Linked DNA regions of Ovis aries. The protein of the gene in region 2 interacts with the protein of the main gene of each other region in a pairwise test. Links are inferred from orthologs where the notes say so. Each region holds a gene or a part of one and is shown on either strand. Other genes may lie near its edges. The genes, in order: ZGPAT, TRIM27 and USP2.

Region 1 (3,480 bases), on a different chromosome or scaffold from region 2:
TGGTGGGATGAGTTGGCACTGCCTCCACCCATGAAGTGGCAGGTGCGCGGGTGAGGAGACATGCATAACACCCCCAGCTCACTGGGTCCTCCTGCCCCCTTAACAGTGCTACCCCAGGCCCAGCATGGTCAAGGTCTCCTCCCACCACTGCAGCACCAGCTCCACTCATTTGTGGGTGTCAGGCACTGTGGGGGGGGGGGCATCTGAGGCTGTGACCCACATCTGGGAGAGCAGCAAGGAGGCTCCTGGCTCTGGGTTTGGGCAGGGGCAGCAGGCTCACTCAGGACCCCTCCAGCCCAGCCCTGTGACCTGGCGCAAAGACCCCTACTCCCCAAGGACCCCACAGCCAGTCAAGCCTCCAATGAAATCAGACACTGTGACAAAGTCACTTTAATGTCTTTGCTCACGAGACGCCCCAGGACACTGGCAGGTGGACTCAGTGGGCAGGGAAGCATCAGGAAGGGGCCCCTGCAGCCTGTTTCTGCTCAGCAGTGTCCACGTGCTGGAGGCCAGCAAGAAGGCCCTTTGTGGGGTGTAGCCACAGAGCAGGCTGGCCCTTCTGGTGGCATCCCTGCTGTCTGCCCGAGGGCAGCAGGAGCCGAGGCCCTTCAGTTCCATCCACAACACGTGCAGGGCTCTAGAACTCAGTCATCTTCTTGTGAGTGTCGGCCTTCCTCTGTTCCCGCTGCAAGCCTGCCTCCTGGGCCCGGAGCTGCCCCAGCTGCCGCTGGGCCCCTGCCAGCTTCTCCTGCAGCTGGGTCGTTGTCACACTGTGCCTGGAGAGGGGCCCACATTCAGCACTGCCGTCCGCCTCCAGCCCCTCCTCAGACCCGGCCCGCCGCCCCCAAACTCTCTCAGGGGAAGCTGGGCAGGGGTGAGGTGCCTGGGGCAGGGCCACACATACCGGCCAGCGTTGCGGGCAAGGGCCTCCTGGATGCCCCGGATGGCTCGCTGGGTCTGCTCAATCTTCTCCTCGGTCTGGAGGAGCCGCAGGCTCAGGGCCCGTTTGGTACTCCTGCTGGCATGGTATACCTCCTTGCCACTCCTCCCGGGGGGTGCCGCCCCCACCTCTGGGGCCCCTGGAGCCCCGCCTTTCAGCTTCTCGTTCAGGAAGTCAAACACACTGCGAGGAGGTGGGCGGCCCCCAGGTCCACTCCCTCTGCTCCGGCACTTTGGGGGCTTGCTGACACCAGCCTGGCCAGCCCGGGTTCTCTTCTGCAGGATTTCTGCACACTGGTCTAGTGACTTCCCACGTGGCAGCACCACAGCATGGACGGGCTCCACCCGGCCGTCTGCACGACGGCCCAGACCTAGGGGAACACCAGGCTGGCATTGCCACTGGACCCCTGGGCCATGATGTGGAGTCCCTCCTGTCCCCAGGCAGCACAAGTGCACTCACCCTTGCCAAACTCATAGCCCATCTTGGCGAGGAGTCTGGAGCCAATGCCCCGCGTGTGTACCTCCCAGCCGGCAAAAGCGGAGCTGCAGGTCCCGGGGTTGGCAGCACCAGGTTCCACCACTGCAGGTATCAGAGGGCAGTGGCTTAACCCAGCTAGATGCAGAGGATCCTGGGCTCCAGCCAAGGCTAACCCAAGAGCTCAGCTCTGCACAACCAGCCCCCAGCATCCCCAGCACCCTGCCCAGGGCATGTGGCACAAGCAGAAGGCAGAGCCTAGCCATTTCCACGACCTGGTCACAGGATGGCACCCTTCCACACTCCCTGTTCCCTTGTGGAGAGCAGTCCTCCCCTCCATCAGTATGGACAATGCGGCTAACAGACCCCATGTGGGCACCCCCACCCCTGGGGGGAGGCTAGACACTGACAGCCGATCCTTCATCCAGCTAACAGGTCCCCGTGCCCTGCAGGAAGCTGTTCCTTCCTGTGCATCCCATCCCCTCCCGCGGCTTGCGTGGGACTATGGTTTCTGCGTCTGTGGGTCTCTGGACGTGCCCCAGGTCCATCACACACCCTCGTCTCCCCGGGAGTGTGTCCTTGTACTGACCACAGTGTGGGCCCTGCCAGCCGGGAGCCTCTTGGGGGTGGCAGCAGCCATACCTCGAGCATAGCTGGGGTCGTCTGCATCGCTGCCGTCTGAGTCAGAGGACCCTGCAGGATCTGTGCGCAGTGGGGGCAGGATGCTGTCCCCTTCTACCACAGCCTCTTTCAACAGCAGAGAGTCAAACTTGACTGTGTAGTAGCCGCTGTCTACATCTGGAGGGGCACAGAGGCAGCAGGGCAGCACACGGAAGTAGCCGCTCTGGAAGGTGGGAGCAGGGTGGGGCCAAAACCAAGGGGGCCTTGCTCTTCTCATGTGTGGGGTGGGACCCCAACACCCACCCAGAGGAGGAGTCACGCAGGACTAACACATGTGACACATGAAGAGGGCTTCCTGGGAAGGGCCTGTCAGGGAGGCCCCGGGGCAGCCTCACCAGTGATCCGTGCTGGGTACCACAGACCATCCTGCCGCTTGGCCAGACACGCAGAGCCAGCCTGCAGGGAGCTCAGGTCCGGGTCCTGGAAGGGGCGCAGCTCATCCACTGAGACTACCTGCCCGTGCGAGAACCTGCAGAGAGGGCCGCATAACTCAGGTATGGCCACCAGGGTCCCACAAGCCCAAATAATCCAGTCTACCTGCCTGGACACCGTCCAATGGAGATATGAATGGAGAGAGGGACACATAGGTCCACACAGACATCCACAGACACGCATATAATACACAATTATGCGCATCTACACCGAACACATGTATACACACGCAACATCCACACACACATGTACACATCCACACATATACACTCAACATGTACACACACACATCACACGCACACACACCTACACACATATACATGTATTCACATGCAATATACTCATGCACATATGTACACACACCCAGATGTATACACTGAACATGTGTATAAATGTGTATGCACACCCATACCTATACACGCATACATATATACACAGGCACACGTATAAGTGCACTCATGCACACATGTATGTACACACATGCATGGACACAGAGGCACAGACATCCACACATGCACCATACACAGGCATACACACACTGACTACACACAAGCACACAGATACGTGTATGCACATGTGCGTACACATGCACACGTATGGACACACACACTGTGCTTGTGCTCTCTCAGATGGACCTGGGTGCCCCAAGGACTAGAGGCTTCTGGTTACTCTCCAGCCTCCTGGGCTAGAGTCACCCACACACAGGCACACATGTGGCTGGGAGACACACTTGCGACAACAGTTCCCTGGCACCTCTCCGCTGGACACAACAGGTCATCAAGACAGGGGGTCTGCTTGCGTCACTCGCAGGACTGAGGCCTCCCCAGCCAACTAGGAGGACCTGGTTGTAATGGTGCTGCCTTGTCTTTGTCACTGAAACAGTGACACCAAAACGAAAACCAGGAGAGAGGAGGTGGGACAGGAAGTGTGGGAACAGAGGGCTGCAACTTTGA
Region 2 (2,743 bases):
CCTCTCTGAAGCTCCTGGTTATTTCTCTTAAAACCTTTTGAATAAATAAATGAATCAGGACATATCACCAATGCATGATCTTCAGCCATGAACCACAATGTTGGGTACAAGACTAAGACCACAAAATCTTGTCATCTTGAGGTCATGTCCAAAAGCAGAAAAGATCGAAAACCTCCTGGAAAAGAGCTGTCCTCTCAGCATATTTTTCCTCCTTAGAATGTGGTGCCCTCCATGACCCTAAGGGCTTAGGCTGCTGCTTCTGAGGTGGGAAGCAAGCTCTGGGCGCTCTGATCTATACCAAGCATTGCTGCATACCCCACTGTCAGTTATAAGCACTTGAGAGAACACTTTTCCAGAGACGTGACAGGATTAGCCAATACAAAGCTGTAGGCTATGGAAGTCCAACACTAGTTTCCAAGCACCAGTAGAAAGCAGTGACATGGTACTGTTTTTATCATCCAGTTGAAAGTAAAATACTGACCAGAATGAGATTCTCAAACCATAGAGGTTAATAGTGTTGATTTCCTCCAATATCTATGAACCCAGTCCTACCAAGACCCAGAAAATAACAACAGTGTAAACAACATCCATACTCACTTTATTTTTAAACAGAGGAGCATGTACCCAAAGAAAGAGAAGACTAAGAACCATCATGGGGGCTTGTGCTAAGTGATCTGCCTTGGCTTTCTGACCTCAGAATGCCTCGTGATCCAATGGCCATAGGGATGGAATAGCCCCTTGATGGTACACACATCAGAAAGGTAAACTCCCTCTTCCCTTGAAATAGAAGGGAGAAATGGAGACAAGTCAATGAATCCCCTGGAATATTGCCCCAGAATCCTTCCAGGGATAGGGTATGACTGACCATCAGTCCACAAATGGAAGTGGGATGGGAGGTAGGAACAATGAGTGGTGTTGAGCAGAAAATAATCCCGGATGATGTGCATCCAGGACTAGGATACACTTTTCATTAGAATGAAGGGAGCTGACAAAGCCCTCAAAAAGATAGAGGCAAAGAGCACATTGATTAGAATATTATCTCCTAACAGAGGTGGGGCTATTTCCCACCATTACTGTAAAATAACTGTAACTAATCAAAACACATACAGGCCTCTTTAATGGAGTTAATAAAACTACAGCAGATTGGGAATCAGGGGTAGAGGTACTAATCCCAAAGGAAAAACTGGGACAAAGGGATCCATGCTGACAGGACTTTAGTCCAGCTGTGGGTTCTCAGAAAGAAGCCCTGGTTCAGAAACGACAGCAAATACCCATGATCACTATATGGGGCTGAGCCCAGGTGTAAGAATCTTGAATGGCTCTCCTAACCCAAGATTATCCATATTCTTTATCCCCTCCAGTAATGTATAAGACCAAGAAGTGTGGAACACTGGAGGTGGACATCTGGTTTTTATTTCTGGGCAATCTCGATAACTTATTACATCTCACAATTTTCATGGGAAGGGGGGGATGGCAGAGAACACAGACATCCTGTCTTGCACTGCAGGGCACGGAAAGTGGTAAGAACATCCAGCTGTGATGGGCAGGAAGTGGCAAGGCAACAAGATGCCTCATGCCTGGGGTGGGAGTACAGCCAGCAGCCCTTCTGGCCTGAGTTCACCTCCTCAAGGGGAGGTCTCCATGGAATGACCATGATTCCCAACATGGCCAGAAAACCCATCGATGCCACTCATGGGACAGATGATCAGAGGAGCTGCGCTCTTCCCTCCAGAGTAACTCAGACTGAAGTAGGGCCGGACAGGCCCACAGAAGGTAGCATGAGAGAAAGTAAAGGTGTGACACCTCTCTGTCACGTTGTAGAAGGAGACCTCGCCAGCATCATAGTCCAAGAAAATCCCCACCCGTTGGAGAGGGGTCCGCAGGGGGAGGGCAGTCATTGGGGAGGTGAGAGCCCAGTATTCTTTCCCATACCACAAGGACACTGCCCAGAATCCATTCTGGGGGGCTGAGGTTACCCCACCTTTTCTGCACACTGAGTCTTCACAGACACCTATGGTCCACTTGGCTTTATCTCCCACCTCTACCTCCCAATAGTGTCTCCCAGCGATGAAGCATGGAGAGCCCAAGACACAGGGAAACAGATTGAACCGCTCAGGGTTGTCGGGCAGGTCCTGCTGGAGGTAACTGTACCGCACTTGCCGCAGGTTATCAGAGAGGATCAGGCTGGGGTAGGCTGTGTCTGGGTCCAGAGTCACATCCACTGCAGAGAAATACAGGGGCAGAGGAGGATTAGCCAAGCACCAGGACAGCCCACTCTGAACACTCAGCTTTTCTCCTATCCCTGAGAAGAGAGTAAGAGCTCTCCAGCAAAGACACATTCATTTTATACATTTAAGTCCACCCTGAAGCTGACATTCCCAAAATTACTGTTTGGATTAGGTAGTTATCTCATTTAGCTAGGATATACTGGAAGTACTGAAATTTTTACCTTGCTTTTCCACATTTTAAACCACAATATCCGTTATAAGCTGAATTTAAGGTTTTCTTATGTGTATGTCCAACCCCTTAATCCGAAAGCCACAGGGTCCAGAAGTTTACAGTATTTAGACAGAGAGGGTGTGGTGTAGCACTCTACAACCAATACTAACAGATCTGCTGTGAAACATATGGATATTCACATTATATCAGATAAAGACACTAAATAGTGCCACATGCATCTGACAATCGTGGTGGTTTCCAGTTTTAAAATCACTGACATATTCTCTCACTTGTTCTTCTTATC
Region 3 (3,751 bases), on a different chromosome or scaffold from region 2:
CTCTCACAGTTCAGGAGTTCTGTTTACTGCTCTCAGATGCCCAGGAGCCTCAGCCTGGAGCTAGCGGCTCTACCTCTTGGGCTGGCACCCTCTGACCCACCAGTTTAGTGCCTGATAGGCCTTGGCCGGGGGTCATCAAGGGGATTGGGTCCCTCTCAGTTTCTCTAGATCCCAACAGTTACTCAAGGGCTGGGACGGGCAAAAGAGGTAAAATAAAGAGACTGGAGATTAAAACCAGAATTCCGCCTGGAGGAGAAGAGGTGGGTGGGCTTAACGCAGTGTCTCTTCAGGGTTCTCCTTCATTTGGGTTGGGAGGGGGTTGGCATCTCTATACCTCCAAGAAAAGGCAAAGATATGGGGCCCCCAGGCAGTATTGGAATTCTTAAATTCTGTTTTCTAACCACGACTGTCCCAGGCACTCTCCTGGAACCCCTACCCCAGGGGAGAGCCCCAGGCTCCTTCCCTCTCCTCCAGGGCTTCAGCTTCCTCCTCCTGGCCTCCCAGCCCTTGGTTCTGCCCCTGGGTCTTGCCCATAGCACCTCCAGGCCTGGTGGGGTGGCCTCTCACATGCTCCCCCAAACAGACAGGGATCCCTCAAACAGACAGTCCAGGGCCCTAGGGACAACGGCCCTGTGAATTTCGGATACCAAAGGAGCAGTTACCGACCTGTGTCCGGGGACACTGGGCAGGATCTGGGGGCTTCTCCTTCCCCGGCAGGGCAGGGAGTGCAGTGGCGAGCCCAGAAGCAGGAGTCTGACTTGGGCCGGGTAATCCGGGGCTCAGGTTACTGACTCGATATATATAGTATCTTATCTGACCTCATGGAGATGGCTAGCTCCACTCGCTGGCATTCTGAGCCCAGGGAGAATTAAAGGGGCAGTGGCAGGCCCTCCCTCTCGAGGTGGGTGCCAGGCAAGGAGATCCTGGGAGACTGTTTGCAGGGAGCATTTTGAAATGGAACAGAAGGGGGATTCAAGGGGAAGCAGAACTGGAAAGAGGGTAGAGGGATGGGGGTGGAATTAGGCAAAAATATGGAGAAGGAGGTGTCAGTCACAGAAGTAGAGAAGAGAAAGAAGCCCCAGTCCACCTCCTTTAGCTCTGAGATGGAGGAGACCTGGAGGCAGACAGCAGCTCCCTCAAGGACACAGAAGCAGGGAGAGGCAGAAGGGACCTCTCTCAGGTTTCCAGTTCAAGCTCTTTTATAATGGACTTCTAGGCTTGGGCTTGTATTCCAAGTCTTTCCTTTTTATTGCCTCAGAGACATTTAAGCGGTCATTTAAGTGGTCCAAACCTTATTTAGTCTTAAAACAGGAGTAATAATAATGATATACCTCATGGAGGTGAGGATTAAATAATGCTTGTTAATTTCCTGGCACATAGTAAGAGTTCAATAAATGATAATCACTACTAGATCAAATACTTCCACTTCTAATTAGTGGTAGCATTTGTCAGGTGAACCTTGCTAGTGAGAAAAGGTTCCTCCAGGCCACCCCGTGGGAGTGCCCTGTTCTCATGTCAGAAAACTGCCATGGTTTTCCGAGCTGATCCGTGTCCCATAGCTGGCAAGGCAAATGAGGCTTACCCTATTCCCAGATGTGCAGTCCACCCATCAGAGGAGGGCCAGGCCCACTTGGGCTCTTTCCTTCTCTACCTAGAAAAATATATAGCAAGTGTAGCTTCCCCCAGGCTACCAGGAGCAAGCCTGGCTGCTCTGGAGTGGTTCCACTCTACCTGGAGGAGTGTTCAGGATCCCGAGCCTACAGAGCCAGGCTGGCTGGGCAGGGTCACAGGAGGAAGGTGCAGGATTCTGAACCTCTCGGACCTTGGTGCTCTTGTCAGCTCCCAGCTGTTCCTCCTGTTTCTCGATGGCTGTCCCTGAGGACTGGGAGTACCCGGGATGGTGCCTCCACCCTGTCTCAGCAGAGACTACTGACTCAGCTCAGGTCCTGATGATGCACTTCAGAGGACGCCCTCGTCCCCAGCCCTCATTCCAGTCCTCATTCCGACTCCAGTCTGGCATCATCTACAGCATCAAAGGAATGGTGGCTGCTCCAACCCCAGCCCAACCAGCTCTCCTTTCCTCCACTGTACATGTCGGACTCTGGGGACCTATTCCTGCCTGTGCCTGGGGAGATGAGCATGGGCAGGATCTCCAGCTCAGTTCCATTCTAAGAGCGGCCAGGTCAGGAGGTAGATGCTCCTCCTTAGAGGACAGCCAGAATGGGCTTCCTTAGGCTGTTGAGTATAAGTTACTTGCCTTGGAGCATCGCGTGCCTGATTCTGGTTTGGGATTGGTGAGAATTTCAAAGATGCCTCTTTCTTGTTTGGGATTGGTGGAAAATCTACCCCTTTTCCACTTAACTACTACCCTCCCCCCCACCCCTACCCCTCTTTGGCAAACTGATCAGAGACAAGCCCCCAGGAGCTTTGAGAGGAGGGAGTAAGAAGGCTGCCACGCACACGTGGGGAGGGGTTTGCCAGGGCCCAGGCGTCACTCTCCGCCACATCCCACACAGGGCTCGGAGATGCGGTCCTGCCCAAGCAGCGTTTCCTGAGAACACACTGATCAGCACACAGATGGCTCTCCCTGGCACCCTGAGCTGTCGGCTCACACACACAACTGGCACCCACAGCTGGAGATCCTCAGCGCAGCTGGCACTTGCCCTACATTTCTAGTGCCCATTTTGCCCAGGCGGTCGTTGACACCTCACTCTCAGAGCCTCACACGGCACTGCCCTCCGTATCCCCTCTTCCCCAGTCTCCGACAGGTGGCACGTACCTGCCTATTCTCTGAGGATGGATGAGTCGAGCCGGGCACAAGCATGGAGCTACCGATGAGTCCCGGCTGGTACTGGAGCGGCGCAGTAAACAGCCGCTGACGCAGAGGGCTCCCTGGCCTCGGCTCTTGCCCGCCTCTACCCCACCTCCGCCGGGGGCCCAGAGAGGACCTCCCCGGGAAATCGGCGCCACCCAGCGGGCTGCCGCCTCATTGCGCCCGGGGCCGGCAAAGCCACACCTCGCGTCTAGCGTCACTGAGACGCGTCACGGCGATTGGCTTGTTCCTATTATGACGTCATCAGAGCCCCGCCCGACCAGGATCTCCCAGGCGACCGACATATACAGAGAACCACGTGGAGAAAAGGCACGCGAGCTTGGAAGGGGTGGTTGGAGTACCTGAAGTGGGCCTGAATATGACACGACGGGACAGCTGGAAGGTATTGGGAAAGAGGAAGGGTCACGGGGAGAAGGCTCAGCGTTGAACCCCAGGGCGTACATATCAGCTTTCAGATTTTAGGGAAGGCTAAATGTTCCAGCTCCTTCCCACCCGACTGGGAGAGGGCCAGTTCTTCTGGCTCTTCCCTTCTCTACTCTTTAAGACACTCTCTGCTTATTTTACTAACATGAGACGAGTGACTGGTGGTGTTTTCTGAAGTGGGTAAAACGGTGGCACTGGGTCAGTAGAAGAGATTCTCTTTTTGTCTTTCAAGAAAAAGCCAAAGGAAACTTGATTTTTTGGGTCACTTCCATTCTTTGTATATAACTTTCCCCCCTTTCCTCTACTGTGAAGAAAACCACACGGCCAGGTAGATTGGTGCCAAGGCAAGTCCAAGGTTTTCAGTTTCACCTGGACCGTCAGTCCTTCCAAGTGTCCTTAGCTGCTTCTCTTGTTCTCTGCAGCTGGCATTTGTCCATTACCACTCTCCCAAGTCCCTCCTTGTCTTCTATTTCCCTGAGGAACTGGAGGCAATCA

Evidence for each region.
Region 1: the proteins of TRIM27 (region 2) and ZGPAT interact in binary tests that used the Homo sapiens proteins (3 or more experiments, as listed by UniProt). The two-hybrid records come from large-scale screens. The link is inferred for Ovis aries from reciprocal best matches to the Homo sapiens genes TRIM27 and ZGPAT.
Region 3: the proteins of TRIM27 (region 2) and USP2 interact in binary tests that used the Homo sapiens proteins (3 or more experiments, as listed by UniProt). The link is inferred for Ovis aries from reciprocal best matches to the Homo sapiens genes TRIM27 and USP2.

Annotation. Positions count from the first base shown.
Region 1 is NC_056066.1:53,737,874-53,741,353, forward strand, and holds the end of ZGPAT (zinc finger CCCH-type with G patch domain-containing protein), read right to left. Parts: intron 2,565-3,480; coding exon 2,431-2,564; intron 2,213-2,430; coding exon 2,057-2,212; intron 1,520-2,056; coding exon 1,400-1,519; intron 1,311-1,399; coding exon 905-1,310; intron 777-904; coding exon 638-776; downstream 1-637. UniProt on the Homo sapiens protein: Transcription repressor that specifically binds the 5'-GGAG[GA]A[GA]A-3' consensus sequence. Represses transcription by recruiting the chromatin multiprotein complex NuRD to target promoters.
Region 2 is NC_056073.1:29,131,266-29,134,008, reverse strand, and holds the end of TRIM27 (zinc finger protein RFP), read right to left. Parts: intron 2,222-2,743; coding exon 1,626-2,221; 3' UTR 578-1,625; downstream 1-577. UniProt on the Homo sapiens protein: E3 ubiquitin-protein ligase that mediates ubiquitination of various substrates and thereby plays a role in diffent processes including proliferation, innate immunity, apoptosis, immune response or autophagy.
Region 3 is NC_056068.1:29,668,807-29,672,557, forward strand, and holds the start of USP2 (ubiquitin carboxyl-terminal hydrolase 2), read right to left. Parts: upstream 2,918-3,751; 5' UTR 2,780-2,917; intron 1,885-2,779; exon of another isoform or gene 1,732-1,884; intron 1,647-1,731; exon of another isoform or gene 1,583-1,646; intron 756-1,582; exon of another isoform or gene 1-755. UniProt on the Homo sapiens protein: Hydrolase that deubiquitinates polyubiquitinated target proteins such as MDM2, MDM4 and CCND1. Isoform 1 and isoform 4 possess both ubiquitin-specific peptidase and isopeptidase activities.